Caenorhabditis elegans: one gene and its partners. The protein of the gene in region 1 interacts with the protein of each later gene in a biochemical or structural test. Each region holds a gene or a part of one and is shown on either strand. Other genes may lie near its edges. The genes, in order: frpr-19, flp-14 and flp-8.

Region 1 (7,756 bases):
ATTCGTTACGTCATTATTTTCCGCTTCCACCACCACCACCACCGCCATATAAGCCTGTGTGAAGAAGAAGATGAGGATGAAGATGAAGCAGTAGACAAGGACGACACACATGTGTGTTCGTCAATATTTCCGTTGCTCTGCGTCTCTGTAGTGATTAAAGCATATCAGGCGGGTAGGAGATTCATCTCGAAATTTCTTTTTTTGGCTCTCTTTTTCTTACTCATAGACACTCTCACGCAATTATACAAATATAGGTATCAGACCTATAGAACTTTAATCTCTGTTCAATTGATTTTTTTGAAGTGTGATTTTGACAACACTTTTTTCTCACTTGTAACATTTCTTCACTAAACATTCATAAGTTACGTTACTTATTAAAAACATGAATGATGAGTCAATAATGAACCTTGGAAGTGAGCAAAAAGTGTGTTGTCGGTTTAAGTCTAACGGCTTGAAAGTCTTTCCAACACGTTTATTCAGTAATAGAAAAAACTTTCTACCTTTATTTTACATAACTGTAACGTATAAGCTCTCAAAGTTTAACAATCACACTTTACCAAAATGCCACGTGCCACATGAACTTTTCCCGCTGAAATCAGTGTATGACGTTAGCCAGGTGAATTTTCGTATTGCGCTTTTTCTCCTCCTCCCACGGTAGTTACTGGAAAATTAAATTACCAAACGTGTTATACAAACGTGTTAAACTACTATTTTCTTTTAGTTTTTTTAGATGAAAAAATCTTGAAGGATCACTGTGATTTTGTGAGCTTGAATTTGTAGTTTTAGTAAAGTTGAGCATTTTACTGGAAACAAATTTGGGTCAATTGAAAAAAAGATATTCAACTGCATTTGATTTGCTAAGTTCTAAAAAATTTGTCTTCAGAAAAACTTTTCCAAATTTTTTTTGACTATATTTTTATGGCTAGACATTTTACGTGGCCAGGGATGTGCGGCAAATTTTGAAATTTGCCGGGCTCGGCAAATTCGGTAAATCACAATATTTCTTGGAGCTTAAAAATGCCAAAAAATAATTGAAAATATTAAGTTCACTGGTATAGTTCGATTTTTTCCTAATGCGCATGTGGATTTTTTGAATAAAAAATGAAAGAAACACGCTGCTATGTTTTCTTTCATTAAGTTTCTGATCGAAACCATTAGTTTTGAGCAAAATTTTAATGAAACATTTTTAATGAGTGCAGCCAATTTCAAAATTTGCCGAGCTCGGCAAATTCGGCAAATCCACATTTTTGAAATTTGCCGAGCACAGCAAACGACAAATTCGGCAAATTTGCCTCCCTGGTCGAGGCGTCGAGGAACAACTCGCCCTCCTTCGCCCGGCAGCTCCTGGACGAGAAGCTGGCCGGACCTGAATTTGGAAGACTTTTGAGAGTTTGGACTTTGTGAAAAGTTCTGCCCTGATCCCTTAAAACCTCTGAAATCAAATTATTAATCTCTGCCACACTCTCTCACTTTGCCCTTCCGTCACCTTTTCCATCAAAAATGCATTGCACCTTCCCCCCCCCCTCCCCCTTCTGTTTCTATTTTTGCCTCTAAATTTCATATTTTCCACCTGCAAGCCCCCTGTCACTCCCCTCTTGTTTCATATTTTCTTAATATTTCTTTACCTCTTTTCAGGCCGACTTGTCGGTGTCCTGTTCATCACCGAGGAGCGCTACAATCAACGGTTCCCGCCAGTTCGGCCACGCTACCCATCACCGCCGCAAGAATGACGACGGACGCTAATTTCACTGGCGACCCGTCGCCGCTCGTTTCCGTACTTGGTTTGATCAAGTCACCTGATTTGATGATTGGCTCAACAGAGGTGCCGTTGTTTGAGGAGGAGGATATGTGTACACCACTCAACATTTCTTGTGCATGTCATACGGACTACTCAAGTTATGAAGGTTTGGAGAGGTGAGCCGGGGATACTGTACTTTAAAGGTTCATATTTCGGTTGGGTGTGATAATATCAACAAAAAAAAACAATTGCAGTAAAACATAGAAATAACAATGGGAAATGCTTTTTTTAATAAAATTTTTTGAACAGAAACCATAGATATGAGATGCTCATGGTGCATCGATCGAGAAAGTTCCACTTTTTGACTTCAACCGCTCATATCTCGCTTGGTTTTAAAGATACCAAAAGTTGGCAAACTACACAAATGTAGAAAAAAGAAAAATAAATACTTTGTTAGTTGACAACTTTTGGATAAACCCAAGGACAACTGAGAAATGAGGTGCAAGACCAGGCTTGCACATGGTGCATCGAAAACTACATTGCGTGACTTTGGCCGCTTATATCTCGGCTGATTTCAAGCCATTGCAAATATTTTAACTAGAAAACTATAGAACAAATATCGTTCATTTTTTCAATTTACTAGTTTTTGAATTTTTGAATTATCGGTAGAATTAACGGTGGCCGAGGACCTGTCTCGAAGTTCAAGTCGAAATCCACCTCGCCCACACACTCAACTACATTTTTCCAGAGTATTTCTTGGCCTCGTCGCAGTTCCAGTAATCATGTTCGGCATTCTGGCAAACGTCACATCAATGCGCATCTTTACACACCGTATCATGTCGGGATCCTCAATCAACTGGTATCTTGCCGTACTCTCCGCGTCTGACACGTTGATTCTCTTCTCCGCGTTTTTTGTGCTCTCGTTGCCGCGTTTCGGAGAATATCTCACCTGGTGGCGGGCGAATTATATCAGGTAACTATTTTTGAACTGCATAGTTTTTAGAATAAGGCCACCTGGCAAAAGTTCTGGAAATTCGTCTTTAATCAGTCATAGGACAGGCAAATTACTGGACATGGACACTGAAAATGGTCCCTTATTCCAGCTATTCGGTGACTCCGTGCATGTACGGTCTAATGATGACCGCCCAGACGTGCAGTGTCTTCATGACGGTCGGTGTCTCCGTTCATCGCTACATCGGCGTCTGTCATCCGTACAAATCGGTCGAGTGGCTGCCCAAGAAACGGGTCACCACTTTCATCATTGGTCTACTCACGTTCTCCGTGATTTTCAACACGACTCGGTTCTTTGAGGTGAGCGTTTTTGTAATAGGTTGGGTGACTAGGGGAGTGTGAAACCAAGAGCATAAATTTTCAAACTATTGGCTGCCTTGTTTCAAAAATGACCTTTAATAAATATGAGCACCTGCCTAGTACATACTGGCGATTGTGTGGTTTGGACTGAGTAAGAGTTATACACCTGATTATTTGGGACGATGTCGTGGGCCTATAAGACCATTAATATGCCCAGTGACGTCCAAATAAGCTCTTTTTTAGACCGGCTCTCACTAATCATAGAACCCTGAACGATTGTCGAAGTAATTAGGACAGACTAGATTTAGACCAGAGGTGTGCGCGGCAAATTTGCCAAATTTGCCGTACAAATTTGACGGTACAAATCTGACTAAAACTACTCATTTTGTCGCAAAAAATTCAGTAAAACGGTATAACATTGAGTCATTTTGATGCTTAAGCAGACATAATACACGGAACTTATTCGGAAACCAGATGTTTATCGGAATTTAGTAGTTTTGGTGCTCCAAAAAATATCAAAAAGTATCAGTATCAAGCCACACACCCCTGATGTAGACAGACTTCTTAGTCTGAGCAGAGGTCATTTCGGCTTACATCTGTCCTGTAACTGCCGCCTAATTGAATCCCTTGAAACAGTACGAAACCAACCCCACTTTCTGTTTCAGGTCCACATTTCCAACGTGTGCTACCGAGAAAACATCGACTACTACATGCCATCACTTCAGCCGACCGCTCTTCGAATGAACGATCTGTATAGGCAAATATTCTTCGGATGGGCGTACACCATTGTGATGTATGTGGTGCCGTTCACACTGCTGATCGCGCTCAACTCGATGGTGCTGTCGGCGGTGAGACGGTCGAGGCGGATGCATATGGTTTCGCAGGTATGGGACTTTATGTTTTGTGGGTTGATTAGATCTCAAAGCAAGGTCGATACTACTACCACCATATATACTAATTGTAATCGATAGAAATGCATTAGTTTATAAAATAGCGTCTTTAATTTGTATTTTGTTTTTTAAGCTCCAATTATAAGCAATGAGAGTTAATTTCAAGATAGCGATACTGTGCGATACTGTGCTGGTTCTATAATTATCACGGCACGAGTACAGATGTTACGCACTTATGTATACAAAATTTGAGCCCCATTTTGAAAATTGCAGCCAAGATTCGAAACAGTGTGAGAAAAAAGTATTTTAGAAAAAAAAAAGATCTACAATACAAAATCCAATTGTTTCTAACTTTAGTGTGGCGCCGAAAGTGAGGAGTTCTCGAAGAAAGCCGAACGAAAGGAGCGACAAACTTCTATTATGCTCATCTCAATCGTGCTCCTGTTCATCGCCTGTAACACTCTTGCATTCGTTTGCAATATTATGGAGAACATGGGCACTGAGGGAGCAATCTATCAAACTCTTGTCACTTTTAACAATTTATTGGTGAGTTCTGACTAAAGAAGGTTGTGAAGGCTCCAGCCGACTTTTGATCGAGTCATATTTCATTTGAAAGTGCAAAGACTGAATATGACTTCCAGCTGCAATGCACATTTTGCAACTTGTCGGTGATAATTTTTATTTCTAGTTTAAAAACTTGTGCTAGCCATTTTTCGAGAAAAAAAATTGTTTTTTTTTGCGAATATTTATTATTAATCAATTATTAATCAAAAATTGCTCAGTTAATTTTTTTTTTTCGATTGACGTTTCACACACGAATACAATAAAATTCCACCAAAACCAGCCACTAATTATTAGATTTTCATTAGATTAATCTGAAATTGTTTTTAATTTTTTTTCTAAATTTATTAATAACCTAATGGGGTTGGTTATTCATGTGATGACAAAAAAAAAGCAAAAATGCATTTTTCTAATTTTTCGACATTTTTCTAGATCGGTCCACATAAAAATACATTTTTGCATTTTTTGTCATCACATGAATAACCCCATAACACGTGCTCGCTGGCTGTCTCAAAATTCACGTTTTCTCGCGGACGAGAAAACTTGAGAAATGTGAGAAAATGGCCTAGAAATCCTGGAAGAGGAGAATTCCTCGTCCACAGCCAAAATAGCGTGTGAAAGAAGAGATGCAGACGGCAAAACGGTTCTTTGCGTTTTTCACGTCCAGAGAAAAAAGTAGTACAGTGCGTACAAGTTCTATACGCCACCCCCTAAATTTATGCATGTGGGCACGTCTGAATTTTTTAGAAGAATTCTGCTGATGCCATTTGATTCCAAATCCTAAAAAACCTATGAGCCTGAATTTTCATGACCGTACCTCAAAAACTAAATAAATTAGGTCAATAAACCGAAAAATTGGCCGTACAACTTCTATACGCCACCCTCAATTTTTTGACGATTTTTTCAAAACTTTTGATTTTAAAGAGGTAGTTGAAGAGAATATTTATAAATTTGATTGAATATCAGCAAAGAGTAACTTTTCCTACGACCACAAAACATTTTTGTCCCAACCCGATTTACTGTGGAGCGCCAAAGAGCCTGTAACGTGGATTATGGCTCCCACGTGAGATATAACCTCGAAAGTGTGGGGATATGTTCTAGACACTATTCCAACATCTCAGGTAAATTTTGGTCTGATTTGGGCGGTTCTTCGTGCTGATATTAAAACATTTCAGTAAGGTCTAGCCACTTTTTGGCTACTGGCATGCTTAGAGGCCGAAATCACGGTGCACATGAATCCAGTGGGGATGCATTTTTGCGATTGAGCTACAGCAGATTTCGTAGTATTGTTCTTGAACGCAACAATCAAGGTTACTATCATCAAGCGCTCTAGCGATTTAGAAAAGTTTTAACTTGAAACCACAGTAGAAATGCACTGAAAACACACAAATTTTTGATGCTCCGCATTTTCTTCGGATAAGAGGTGAGATGACGAACATATGAATAAAAATAGTGATTTAATTGTGGTAATCTCAATATTTTTTATGCTTCAATCTCTCTAAAAGGCACGGGCGCCGTGATTTCGGCCTCTAAGCATTCCAGTAGCCAAAAAGTGGCTAGACCTTACATGAATGTGTTTCTATCGAGACGAGGAACAGTCCAATTTATGCCAAAATTTGCATGAAATGTTTGAATAGTATCTAGAACATATCCTCAAACTTTTGAGGTTATATCTCACGTGGGAGCAGAAATCCACGTTTCAGGCCCTCTGGTGCCATTGGCACTCCATGGATCTACGAATTGGGACAAAATTGTTCTATGGTTGTAGGAAAAGCTACTGTGCACCGAAATTCACTCAAATTTATTAATGTGCTGTTCAACTTCTTCTCAAAAATTGTAAATTTTTGAAAAATCATCAAAAAATCGAGGGTGGCGTATAGAAGTTGTACGGCCAATTTTTCGATTTATTGACCTAATTTTTTTAATTATTGAGGTAAGGTCATGAAAATTTGGGCCTATAGGTTTTTTAAGATTTGGAATCGAATGGCATCAACAGAAATTTTTTTGAAAGCACAGACGTGGCCACAGGCATAAATTTAGGGGGTGGCGTATAGAACTTGTACGCACTGTATCTGCGTCTCTCACGCCCAATGGATAGCGAGAGTTGGCGCCAACGTGAATTCTCAATGAGGCGCGTTTGCTTCAAACTTATGCAAAAGGACAGCCAGCGACCACGTGCCATAACCGATGTAGAAAAATGTCGGAAAATGCAAAAAATGCATGCGTTTTTTTAAATGTTTCTGCACACATGAATAGGGGGAAAACTGTATAAAAATACATTTTTGTATTTTTCGTCAGCGCATGAAAATCAGTATTATTGATTTATTCCAGGTGATCATCAATGCTTCATGCAACATCTGTGTCTACATGCTGTTCTCTGGCAAATACCGAATGCTTCTCCGCTACTATCTGTTCTGTGATTGGTCCCGACAGGGAGAGCTACTCGTTAGTTCCGTACTCAATTAGTCATTTTCCGTTTTATTTTTTTTTCTTTCCCCAACCGGTTGCTTTTGTGTTTTTCCCCCAAATGTTCTGTTTTTGTAATAATTTTCTTTCTTCTATCCATTTAGTTGGGGTATTGGTATTGCTTTGAAATTTTTGGGAAAGTTAAATTTTGCAAATTTTTGCTCAAACTTACAAAAATTAGTTTTTTTTTTTTTGGAATTTCACAGAAATCGATAATTTTTTTCAAATTAAAAATATTTTAAAATTCGGTTTTTTTCTGTAATTTTCAAAGAACTTTTTTGTATTTAAAGTATAATTTTAATAAGATCAAACTGAAAATTATAGAATTTTGGTTTTTGTTAAAGTTCCTGATTTCATAGTAAAATAATTATAGAAAATCGGAAAAATCTGTCTCATTGCGATTTGATCTACGAAAAATGCGGGAATATTTTTCCAGAAGAATTGTGACCCCAGAACAATTGTGACGTCAGCTTAACCATGTGCAATCATGATGAGATGTCTGCGTCTCTTCTGCCGCATTTTTCAAAGATCAAAGCGAAATGAGACTGTTCTGACTTCACGTGAGTTTGAATAATTTGGAAAAAAAATCGTTTAAAAACTTGACATTCCAAATTTTGTATTTTTTTTTGTATTTTTTTAAAAGTTTTCAGGCAATTTTCAAAACTTTCAACAGAATTTTTTTTTATTTTTTGTCTGAAAATCATTTGAAAAATAGGTCAAAATCTATTTGAATGTGGAGATCTGATAAAAATTTCAATTTCAATGTGAAAAAAAATTTCAAAAAATTTCA
Region 2 (6,834 bases), on another chromosome or scaffold:
ACCTGATGTTGTTGACGACTTTTCTTGAAGAATGCGTGGGCTTAAGAAGCCTATTTACTACCTAAAATTGGCCCTTCTTCACGGGCTTTCAGAGTCCCTCATATCTTGAAATGGCAGAGTTTACTGAGAACCTAGGCCGCGGCCAAGGCCACGGATTTCTGGCTTCCCTCATAAATTGAAATGGAAGAGTTTGCCGAACTAGGCCATTTTGGCTCGGCCATATCTGGGGTAGATTTACGGCGCGTTGCGTGTCGCGTCGCGGCTCGATTGTAAAACTAAATGTCCGTGTGGAGTTCACACGACTTTCCCGGCGGCCGATTGTCAATGGAGCGCGAAAAAATCGATGAGGAAGGCTAGAAGCCTGTGCATCATTTCCGCAAATTTTTTGAAGCTCCGTCGCGGTCATGGCCGATGTTCCCAACTCTCTCGGAACGCTCCGTCTTCATAAAATGGGTCTCATTAGGAATTTGGTCGTTTTAGCTATTATTCGTTATTTTTAATGATTTTTTTCGATTTTTTGATTTTTTGATTTTTTTCGTCACAAAAAACATTAAAACACACTGAAAAAATTAGAAAAATTAACGAAATCAGGAGATATAAAAAAGTTTGAATTTACGATTTTGTCGCCAAAAACCTAACGAGACCCAAGTTATGTCACTATGCGGCAATTCAAAAAAAGACAAATGTGTTATTTTGTTCTGGAAGTTACAATTTTTCACAAAGTCAGACCAATTAGAGCAGCCTCTTTCGAGTGAAAAAAGAAAAGAAAACACTTAACGAGCACACACAAATTTTAGAAGAAAAAAAAACGGAGCACCACGTGGAGAATTGCACGAAAACAACATTAAGCGATGGTTCTATACTTCCTTTTTTGTTCTGAACGTTTAATTTGGGAATAGTTTGAGCAAAGCCTAGGCTGGTCTAGGCTGGTCTAGGCTGGCCTAGCCCAGCCTAGCCAAGCATATTTTAGCCTAGACTCCCAGCTTGGCTAACCTTGCCTAGAATCCCAGTCTTGCCTAGCCTAGCCAACCTTACATAACGTATCCTACGCCTACCTAGTCTAGCCTCACCTAGCCTAGCCTAGCCTAGCTTAGTATACCCTTAACTAACCTAGTCCAACCTTATCTTACCTATCTTATCCTATGTCTACCTAGCCGGGCCTAGCTTAATCTAACTTCCCAGTCTTGCCAAGCCTAGCCAAGCCTAGCCAAACCTAGTCAAGCCTAGCCAAGCCTACCCTCACCTATCCCTGCCTAGCTTAGCCTAGCCTGGCCTAGCCTTACCTAACTTATCCATCGCCTGCCTAACCTGGCCTAGCTTAATTTGTCCTATTCTTACCGAGTCTAGCCTAACCTAACCTAGTCTGTCCTAGCCTAGCCTAGCCTAGCCTCACCTAGCCTAGGCTCACCTAGCCTTGCCTACTCTTCACTAGACTCCTAGACTTGCCTAGCCTGACCTATCAATACATCTGCTCTGTTCAAACATTGACCTCCTCTGTCACTTAACTCAATATGCCCCTGGGCCTCCTTACGGAACCTCCGATACATTTTTTTTGGTTTTTTTTATTTTTTATTACTTCCGGGGCAGATTCTCAGATGTTTGAGGTGTTTTCTCTTTTCCAATTTTCCCGGAAAATTTTAGCGAAATCCTGCTAATCCGGGGACCCCATCCCCTCGGCTAATTAGTATTTGTTTTTTTTTTCGTAAAATTTTTAGTGCTACCGTACTCTTGAATTTTGTTTCATTTTTTTTTCTTCTCCTCGAGCTCTACCAAGCCACGCCCACAACATTTCACTTTCAACACCGAGCTCCGCCCATTTTGAAGTCTCCTCTGGCTCCAACTGAGAGCTCTCTTCATATGATGATCTGCCTGCCCACCGCGCTTCTGCTCTCCGCGTTCGTCGTGGCCGCCAGTGGCCAGGAGGCACCGGCTGGAGCCGGAGCTTCTGGAGCCGCACAGGCTCCACACAATCCGAAGGATTGTCAAGCGGTGAGTCAAAAAAAAACCATTTTGTTCTAAGAAGTTTAAAGTCATGTTTATAATTGGGTTTAAAAAAGTTTTTTTTTTCAAAACTGCAAGTGGAAGTTATAATGAGATAGTTTAGTGCATTTTGGAAAAGTTTTTCGAAAACTAAGTTAGGGCCTGCGTGACGTCATACATCCCATGGTTCTCAAAATTCTGAGAATGCGTACTGCGCAACATATTTGACGCGCAAAATATCACGCAGCGAAAACTAATGACTACTGTGTATTGGTTTGATCTACGCAGATCTACGAGAATCGCGGGAACTTAGACGCAGACTTCTTAACTGATTTCGCATGGTTAAGAACGTGCTGCCGTCACATTTTCTGGACAAAAAATTTGATAAATATGATATTCTTTTGATCCTCATGACGTTTCGGTTGTAGTAAACTTAATAAGATCACAATTTCTGCTCATTTTTCGGGGGAGGATTGGATGCACAATAAAGATTAAACAACTTGCGATGAATAGAAAAAAAATCTATTTTCTTTTTCATAGTTAATCTAGATGATTCTAACCTGATCATACTATTCTCTGTTTGATTTGAATGTGTTTTTTTGTGGGGTTGGAAAGTAGTAGATCAAAGTTTTTTTAGAACTCCACTTTGGTAGATCATAACTCGGTTCATTTTATAGATAGCAAAATTTTTTAAACTATAAAGTTGCAGAAAAAGAAAAAACCTATATTTTTCTAGTTAACAACTTTTTGATAAAGCTAAAGATAGCCGAGATATGAGCTGTCAAATACGGGCTTCATCTCACCGTAGTCCTCGACAAAAATCTGAACCTATAATTACAAGGCTTCCGGTTGGTTTTTTTTTTGAAACCATGTAATTTTCGTGCTTTTCCCAAGGATTTTGTTCCGGAATAATCACTGGGTTTGAAAAACGTACTACTGTAAAAAAACACATTTTCCAGATTCTGGCCAACAACGGCGATCAACAAGAGGCGCTTTTGTGCCAATTAAGCGAGAGCAGCATGCTTCTTGCTCAGCTCGGAGCTCTCGTTTCGGAGGGAGTTGAACGTCTCGTTCAGACTCACGGTAAGTAGGCAGGTAGTAGGTAGGCAGTAGGCAGGCAAGAGGCAGGCAGTAGGAAACAGGGGCACCGCCGAAAATTTTTTTTTCGATTTTTCGGTTGTTTTTGAGCATAACAGAAAAACAAAAAATTTAAAAAAAAACCGAAGATCCGGCAGCCCTGGTAGGTAGGCAATAGGCAGGCAGTAGGTAGGCAGTCGGCAGGCAGTAGGCAGAAGGGGTGCCTTTGCCAGGTTTTTCGGTTTTTTTGGGCAAAACCGAAAAATCGGAATACCGTAAAATTGGAGTCTGAAAAACGAAAGTTGGCAGTAGGCAGGCAGTAGGCAGATAGTAGGTAGATAGTAGGCAGGCAGTAGACAGGCAGTAGGCAGCAGAGGTGCCTATGCCAGGTTTTTTTGGTTTTTTGAGCATAACAGAAAAACAACAATTTTTTCAAATAAACCGAAAATCCGGCAGGCAGCAGGCAGGCAGTAGGAAGGCAGTAGGCGGGTAGTAGGAAACAGAGGCACCGCCGAAATTTGTTTTTTCGATTTTTCTGTTTTTTTTTTAGCAAAACCGAAAAACGAAAATTAAAAAAAAAAAAACAGAAAATCCGGCAGGCCAGGTAGGCAGTAGGTAGGCTGAAGGCAGGAACTAGGCAGTAGGCATGCAGTAGGCAGGTAGTAGGCAAATACTAGGTAGGCAGTAAGCAGGCAGTAGACAGGCAGTAGGCAGCAGGGGTGCCTATGCCAGTTTTTTTTTGGTTGTTTTATAGCAAAATCGAAAAATCGAAAAACCGTAAAATGGGAATCTGAAAAACGAAAGTTGGCAGCAGGCAGGCAGTAGGCAGGCAGTAGGCAGGCAGTAGGTAGCAGGGGTGCCTATGCCAGTTTATTTGGTTTTCTGTCTTAGCAAAACCGGAAAACAGGAAAACCGGCAAGCCTAGTAGGTAGACAGTAGGCAGTAGGCATGCAGTAGGCAGGTAGTATGCAGGCTGTAGGTAGGCAGTAGGCAAGCAGTAGGCAAGCAGTTGGCAGAAGGGGTGCCTTTGCCAGTTTTTTCCCTTTGGTTTTTTTTTAGCAAAACCGAAAAACGAATTTTTTCTTTAAAAAACACCGAAAATCCGGCAGGCCTGGTAGGTAGGCAGTAGGTAGGCAGTAGGCAGGTAGTAGACAGGCAGTAGGCAGCAGGGGTGCCTTATCCAGTTTTTTTGGTTTTCTGTCTTAGCAAAACCGAAAAATGGAAATACCGTAAAATTGGAATCTGAAAAACGAAAATTGGCAGTAGGCAGGCAGGCAGCAGGCAGTAGGCAGACAGTAAGTAGGCAGTAGCAGGCAGTATGCAGAAGTAGGAAACAGGGGCGCCGCCGAAATTTGTTTTTTCGATTTTTCGGTTTTTTTAAAGCAAAATTATTTCAAAAAAAAAAGCAGAAAATCCGGCAGGCCTGGTAGGTAGGCAGTAGGTAGGCTGAAAGCAGAAACTAGGCAGTAGGCAGGAACTAGGCAGTAGGCAGGCAGACAGTAGACATCCGATTTGCCAGCTGCATGAGTCAAACTTCATTTTCTCTGCATCAAATAAGCCTCCGGTGACCCAGCCGAAAGCCTAGACTATCAATCACGTTCCGCCATTTTCTTGAAAAAGCCCCTGACTTTTAAAATGTAAAGCGCCAAATTCTTTTTAAATTCTTAATGATGGTTGTGCTCTTGCTTTGAGGTCTGATCCCAATGGGAAACGTTGTTGCAGGATTGGCTCTCGAGGAGGAGACCAACGAGGGAGACAATGACATGGAGAAGCGCAAGCACGAATACCTCCGATTCGGAAAGAGAAAGCACGAGTATCTCAGATTTGGAAAAAGGAAGCACGAGTACTTGAGGTTTGTGATTTTTTTTTAGTTGTAAGGCAGGCAGTAGGAAGACAGTAGGCAGGGTGTAGGCAGGCAGTAGGCAGACAGAGAGTAGGTAGACAATAAGCAGGCAATAGGCAGGCAGGGAATAGACAGGCAGTAGGCAATCAGTAGGCAGGCAGTAGGCAGACAGGGAGTAGGAAGACAATAAGCAGGCAATAGGCAGGCAGTAGTAGGCAGATGTTATTATGGCGCCGCAAAAAGCTGCAACTGTTAGATGGGGGCAAATACGCTCCAACGTACAAATGAATACACCCAGGAAATTTTTGGAACCAATTTTCTTAACGAGACCCAAATTATGGCAGCGTTTGGAGCGCAATTGCACTTTTTTTTCGAAAAATTGTCATTTTTGCGTCACCGTAATACTTCTCAGGTCTCTACACGAATTTGCTTGTTTTTTTTTAATACAGAAGGAATTCAAAAGCCTATAAAGATTACTGTAGTGTCCTGCAAAATATTATTTATTTACACAAAAATAATACGGACAAATTCTCGAGGAAATGATAGAAAAACTTTGAAAAATCGATGAAAATCAAAGTCGCACACCTTTTCGAATTTAACGAAAAATTTGTCGCGTCGAGACCTGTATTTGTGGCTGAAAAATCGTGTAACAAACTTGCGCGTAAAATATGATGTCTGTGCATCGAATTTTATGCGCGAATTTTTTTTCCCACTTTCACGGGGTTCAGGCCTTCCTCATTGCATTTTTCGCGCTCCATTGACAATCGCCTGCCGGACAACGCGTGGGAAAGTCGTGTACTCCACACGGACAAGTGATTTAGATTTACAACTAAAATCAAGCCGCGACGCGACACGCAATGCGCCGTAAATCTACCCCAGCTATGACCGAGCCAAAATGGCCTAGTTTGGCAAACTCTTCCATTTCAATTTATGAGGGAAGCCAGAAATCCGTGATTTTTCGAGCACAATTTAACGGAGAGAACAAGCTCTGATCTTCGCACTTTTCCGTAACACTATTAAACTTCAAAAATTGAATTTTCGACTCAAATTCGGTGTTCTTTTTGTTTGTTTCTAAATCAAATGTCACACGATGTCTCTAAAGGAAATTGTGTTCCATCAAATTTCCCCTATTTTTTTCAGATTCGGAAAGAGAAAGCACGAATACTTGCGTTTCGGACGCAAATAAGAAGGGAATATCTACTATCATCGAAGAAACATCTTTGAAAACCATACAAATAAAAGAAGAAAAAGACGGAACTACAGTACACCATTTTTTTTTGAAAGATTTTTTTTTCTATATTTTTCTCTCTATCTCTTTTCTCTCTCCCTCTCAGCATTGTCGAAAGAAGAAATTGTAATAAATCTTGTCGTTGGTTAAGAGTTATTTTCTAGAAGTCAGAGGAAGATAAGTGCGCAACCGACATTAAACAAGGTTCACGATGAACCACTTTAAAAACGATTTAAAGAAAGCAAACTTCTGGGTCTTGTAGAAATTTCTGGGAATCTGGATTTTTTGACAAGTTTTGCTGGAATGCTCAGAAAAAAAAACACTTCGAATTTTTTAAAATGTACGGTAAATTTTTTATTAGAATTTTTGTCAATAATTCCAAAAAATGAACAAAAACGCAATTATAAGATCCCTTCGAGATAAATGGAACAAAAAAAAAAGAATAAATATAAGTAGATCGTATTAGAAATTTACATGAAAATGAGCAATAAAAAATCCCAAGACTTCTGCCGAATTACTGCACGTAAACTCCACGATCGTATTTATTGAACTTTTGCGAGCGCTGTAGAATCTTATCGTTGACAAGATTTGCAACGAAAATGGCAGCGATGCCGAGGAAGCATCCAACGTTGAGTCCAGCCATTGCCTGTAAGAAATTAATTTTGAAAAGTTTGTTAAATTTGGCAAGAGTTCGCGAAGTTTGGCA
Region 3 (3,014 bases), on another chromosome or scaffold:
AATTTACTTTTCTTCTTCTCACTGACTATACAACATGTTTGGGCCGAGAAAATTGTATCCAAATTGTGAAATATTTCAATGACACAGGATTTCGGATAGAAAGATATACACAGTTTTTCCTCGAAAACCGGTCTTACGTCTGTTTGATGCGCGCGCCCGCAGGGGGATCATGCGTACTTGTAAGCAAATTTGAATACGATGAGTGGTCATACAAAGAAAAAAAACGGATTTGGTCATTCGGCTGGGACATATTATGCAATTCATACATCAAGCCTGTGAATATCCAAGTCTTGTGAAAATTGAGATAAGATGGAAAAAAAAAGAAAAAAAAACCAGAAAAACAATGAAAGTTTATTCTAACTGACGTTTTGCAGAGATAAAAGAAAAAAAATTAGCATGGAGAATAAGAAATCTAACAAAACATTATCAGTATAGAACACAATTTGGCCCAAATCATCAAGAAGCACACATCCATCTCTGAACGCGAATCACCCGAATCGAATGAATTCGTTCTTTCGTTTCTCCACTGCAAAACCACTTACAGATAAAATACATCAGAGGTGTAACCGAAAAACTCACTGGAAACGTCGTTGTCGTCGAGTCCAAGTCCCTTATCGGATCTTCCGAATCGGATGAACTCATTTTTTCTCTTTCCAAACCGGATGAACTCGTTCTTTCGTTTTTCCATTCTGAGAAAGAAATGATATTTGAAATGACCGACAAATACCAAATATGTACTAACCCGTCACTGCGTTTTCCAAATCGGATAAACTCGTTTTTACGCTTGTTCATCACCGGAACTTCTTGATCGTACAGTGTGACATCTGTCTGCTGCATCACCTCCTGCAAGGCTCTTTGGACGACTTGCATCTCCGCCTGCAAAACATTTTAGATTTTACAGGAATAAAAAACCACTTTGGAAACTAAAAAAAATGATCAACATACCTCAAGATGGCAAATCCGGAGTCCGAGTTCCTTCTCATTCTCGGTGGTCAGTGCGGACACATCACAGCTAGCGTTGGCCGATATGGCGAGTACAAAAATAGAAAAAAGGACTCCGGAGAGCATTTTCTACTTGAAAAGTGTGGACTGAGCACTGCTCGTGGCTTATATACTGGTCCGTCTTCTCCACTAACTTGGGCTCCGCGCACTTTGCTCCGCCTTTTCAGAGGCCACGCCTTCTTGTGCTGAAGAAATTCTAGAGTGTCCACTGGAAGGCGTTTGGTAAAAGAACGCGGGGGCATAGAAAACTTGAAATGGTAAATTGCATAAAACAAGTAAGAAACAGTAAAGTGCTTGTTCTGAGATTTATCTGAAATTGATTCATCGAAAAATTAAATTTACTCCGGTTTTAAAAGTCGTAAGACAATAAACGTGTCTTTGAGAGCAAGTTGATTCAAATTTTAAAAATTTGCTGAAAATCAAGTTTCGAAAACCAACGATATAAAAAAATTTTTTTTTAAAGTTATTAAAAATTATCTCATTTGAAAATTTATTGTATAAACCAGGTTATCTCAACTATCAGGTTAAAAACCGCTTTTTAGGTAAGAAACGTTATCTACGAAAAAACAAATTTTTCCAGATCAAACTTTAGAGTCATACAGTACCACCAAGAAAAATTTTAACATTTTGACATTGTTGTAGCAATTCGTTTGATTTGAAAATGGAAATTTCTCGAAGCTACCCTCGTTTTGAAAAATGAAAACAATGCATATTTATATTTTTGTGTCCTTATTTTGTTTTTTAAATTTTTTTAAAGAGGCCCACTTTACGTTTTTGTGTGTTTTCTTCTTCCTCGTCTATCTATCAGCTGTATAACCGAGCAGTCGAGGGACTGAACACAGTGAATACACGGAATTCATGCTGGGAGGTAACTAACAGATAAATTTAGCCACCGACACCCTCCGAAACTAATTATACCAACTCTATGCATTTGTAAATTGTTGACGTAACACTTGGACTTCTCCTTCATCTAATTCTTCAACTTTTTTCCACCTCTTCTCGGGGGGGGGGGGGGGGGGTACTTTGAAACCAAAAACTTATCCACCGCGCAAATTATTCATCACGAATCAGTTGCTTCCTCGATGATTCGCCTCGCAAAATGATTTCACGGCAATCTCTTCATAAATCTTGCCCTCCAATCATTGAATATTCATTCGAGCAACATGAAACTACGGTGAAGATTGCGTGTATTCAAAGTAAAGGTGCCCACATACTTTTTGAAGAGATCGTCCATGACGAAAATGAATTCATTTAAAGTAGAGTAAAACAAGACTTTTCAAAGAGAACAAAATATCAAGGAGTTCTTATGTCAAAATGGGATGGTCAAAAATGGAAGTCTAATCATTAAATAGTGAATGTCTTGAAAGTCAGTCATCTTATCCTGCATTATAATTATGTGCATAATAAGTGAATTTGCTAGTTTATCACTCCGCCATTGTTTAACAGTAGTCAGTCAGCTTTTTGATTATTTTCCAAAAGTATTCATTCATATTTACAGTGAATATTTTGAAAAATGTATTGTCCTTTAACTATAATTAATGTTGAAAAAATGTAAACCATTCTGTAAAAAGTTGATAATAATTATTAACTGCTCTGAACTTCTCGGAAAGTTATATATTTTCGTCGCCTCGCTATTTTACTAAAACCTTGACTGAAAATTAAGAAAAACTGGAAAGTTTTTGTACGGTTTTATTTTGATATGCGGCCAGCTTGAAACAATATTTACGTGTTTAAACAAAATGTATTTATCTTTAAATATAAATACAGTATTTCTTTTTTACTTGCACCACCTATTGAAAATCAACCCTGTATATTGAATTGAAAAGCTTCCAAATTATTTGATAATTTGACATTTGATAATCACTTTCCGCTTTGTTATATGTAATCTCAAAATTTTTCTTCCGCTATCAAAAATATGCTCGTTTTACTTTTTCTCTATTTTATCACAACATAAAAACCGATGAACGATACTGTTGTGACCGCAAATGTGAGAAGAGGAATCCAAAACACAT

What was found.
Region 2: the proteins of frpr-19 (region 1) and flp-14 interact in a test that uses a peptide from one of them, tested with the Caenorhabditis elegans proteins (one large-scale study listed by BioGRID).
Region 3: the proteins of frpr-19 (region 1) and flp-8 interact in a test that uses a peptide from one of them, tested with the Caenorhabditis elegans proteins (one large-scale study listed by BioGRID).

What each region holds. Positions count from the first base shown.
Region 1 is NC_003282.8:1,775,533-1,783,288, reverse strand, and holds the start of frpr-19 (G-protein coupled receptors family 1 profile domain-containing protein), read left to right. Parts: upstream 1-1,726; coding exon 1,727-1,914; intron 1,915-2,486; coding exon 2,487-2,711; intron 2,712-2,841; coding exon 2,842-3,049; intron 3,050-3,714; coding exon 3,715-3,933; intron 3,934-4,296; coding exon 4,297-4,485; intron 4,486-6,831; coding exon 6,832-6,945; coding exon of another isoform or gene 6,946-6,966; exon of another isoform or gene 6,967-7,756.
Region 2 is NC_003281.10:12,908,655-12,915,488, forward strand, and holds flp-14 (KHEYLRF-amide 4), read left to right. Parts: upstream 1-1,855; 5' UTR 1,856-1,857; coding exon 1,858-1,989; intron 1,990-2,939; coding exon 2,940-3,063; intron 3,064-4,779; coding exon 4,780-4,909; intron 4,910-6,040; coding exon 6,041-6,086; 3' UTR 6,087-6,276; downstream 6,277-6,834. Other genes in the region: Y37D8A.16 (MARVEL domain-containing protein), read right to left, coding at 6,643-6,774.
Region 3 is NC_003284.9:14,879,592-14,882,605, reverse strand, and holds flp-8 (FMRF-Like Peptide), read right to left. Parts: upstream 1,188-3,014; 5' UTR 1,069-1,187; coding exon 946-1,068; intron 877-945; coding exon 743-876; intron 690-742; coding exon 539-689; downstream 1-538.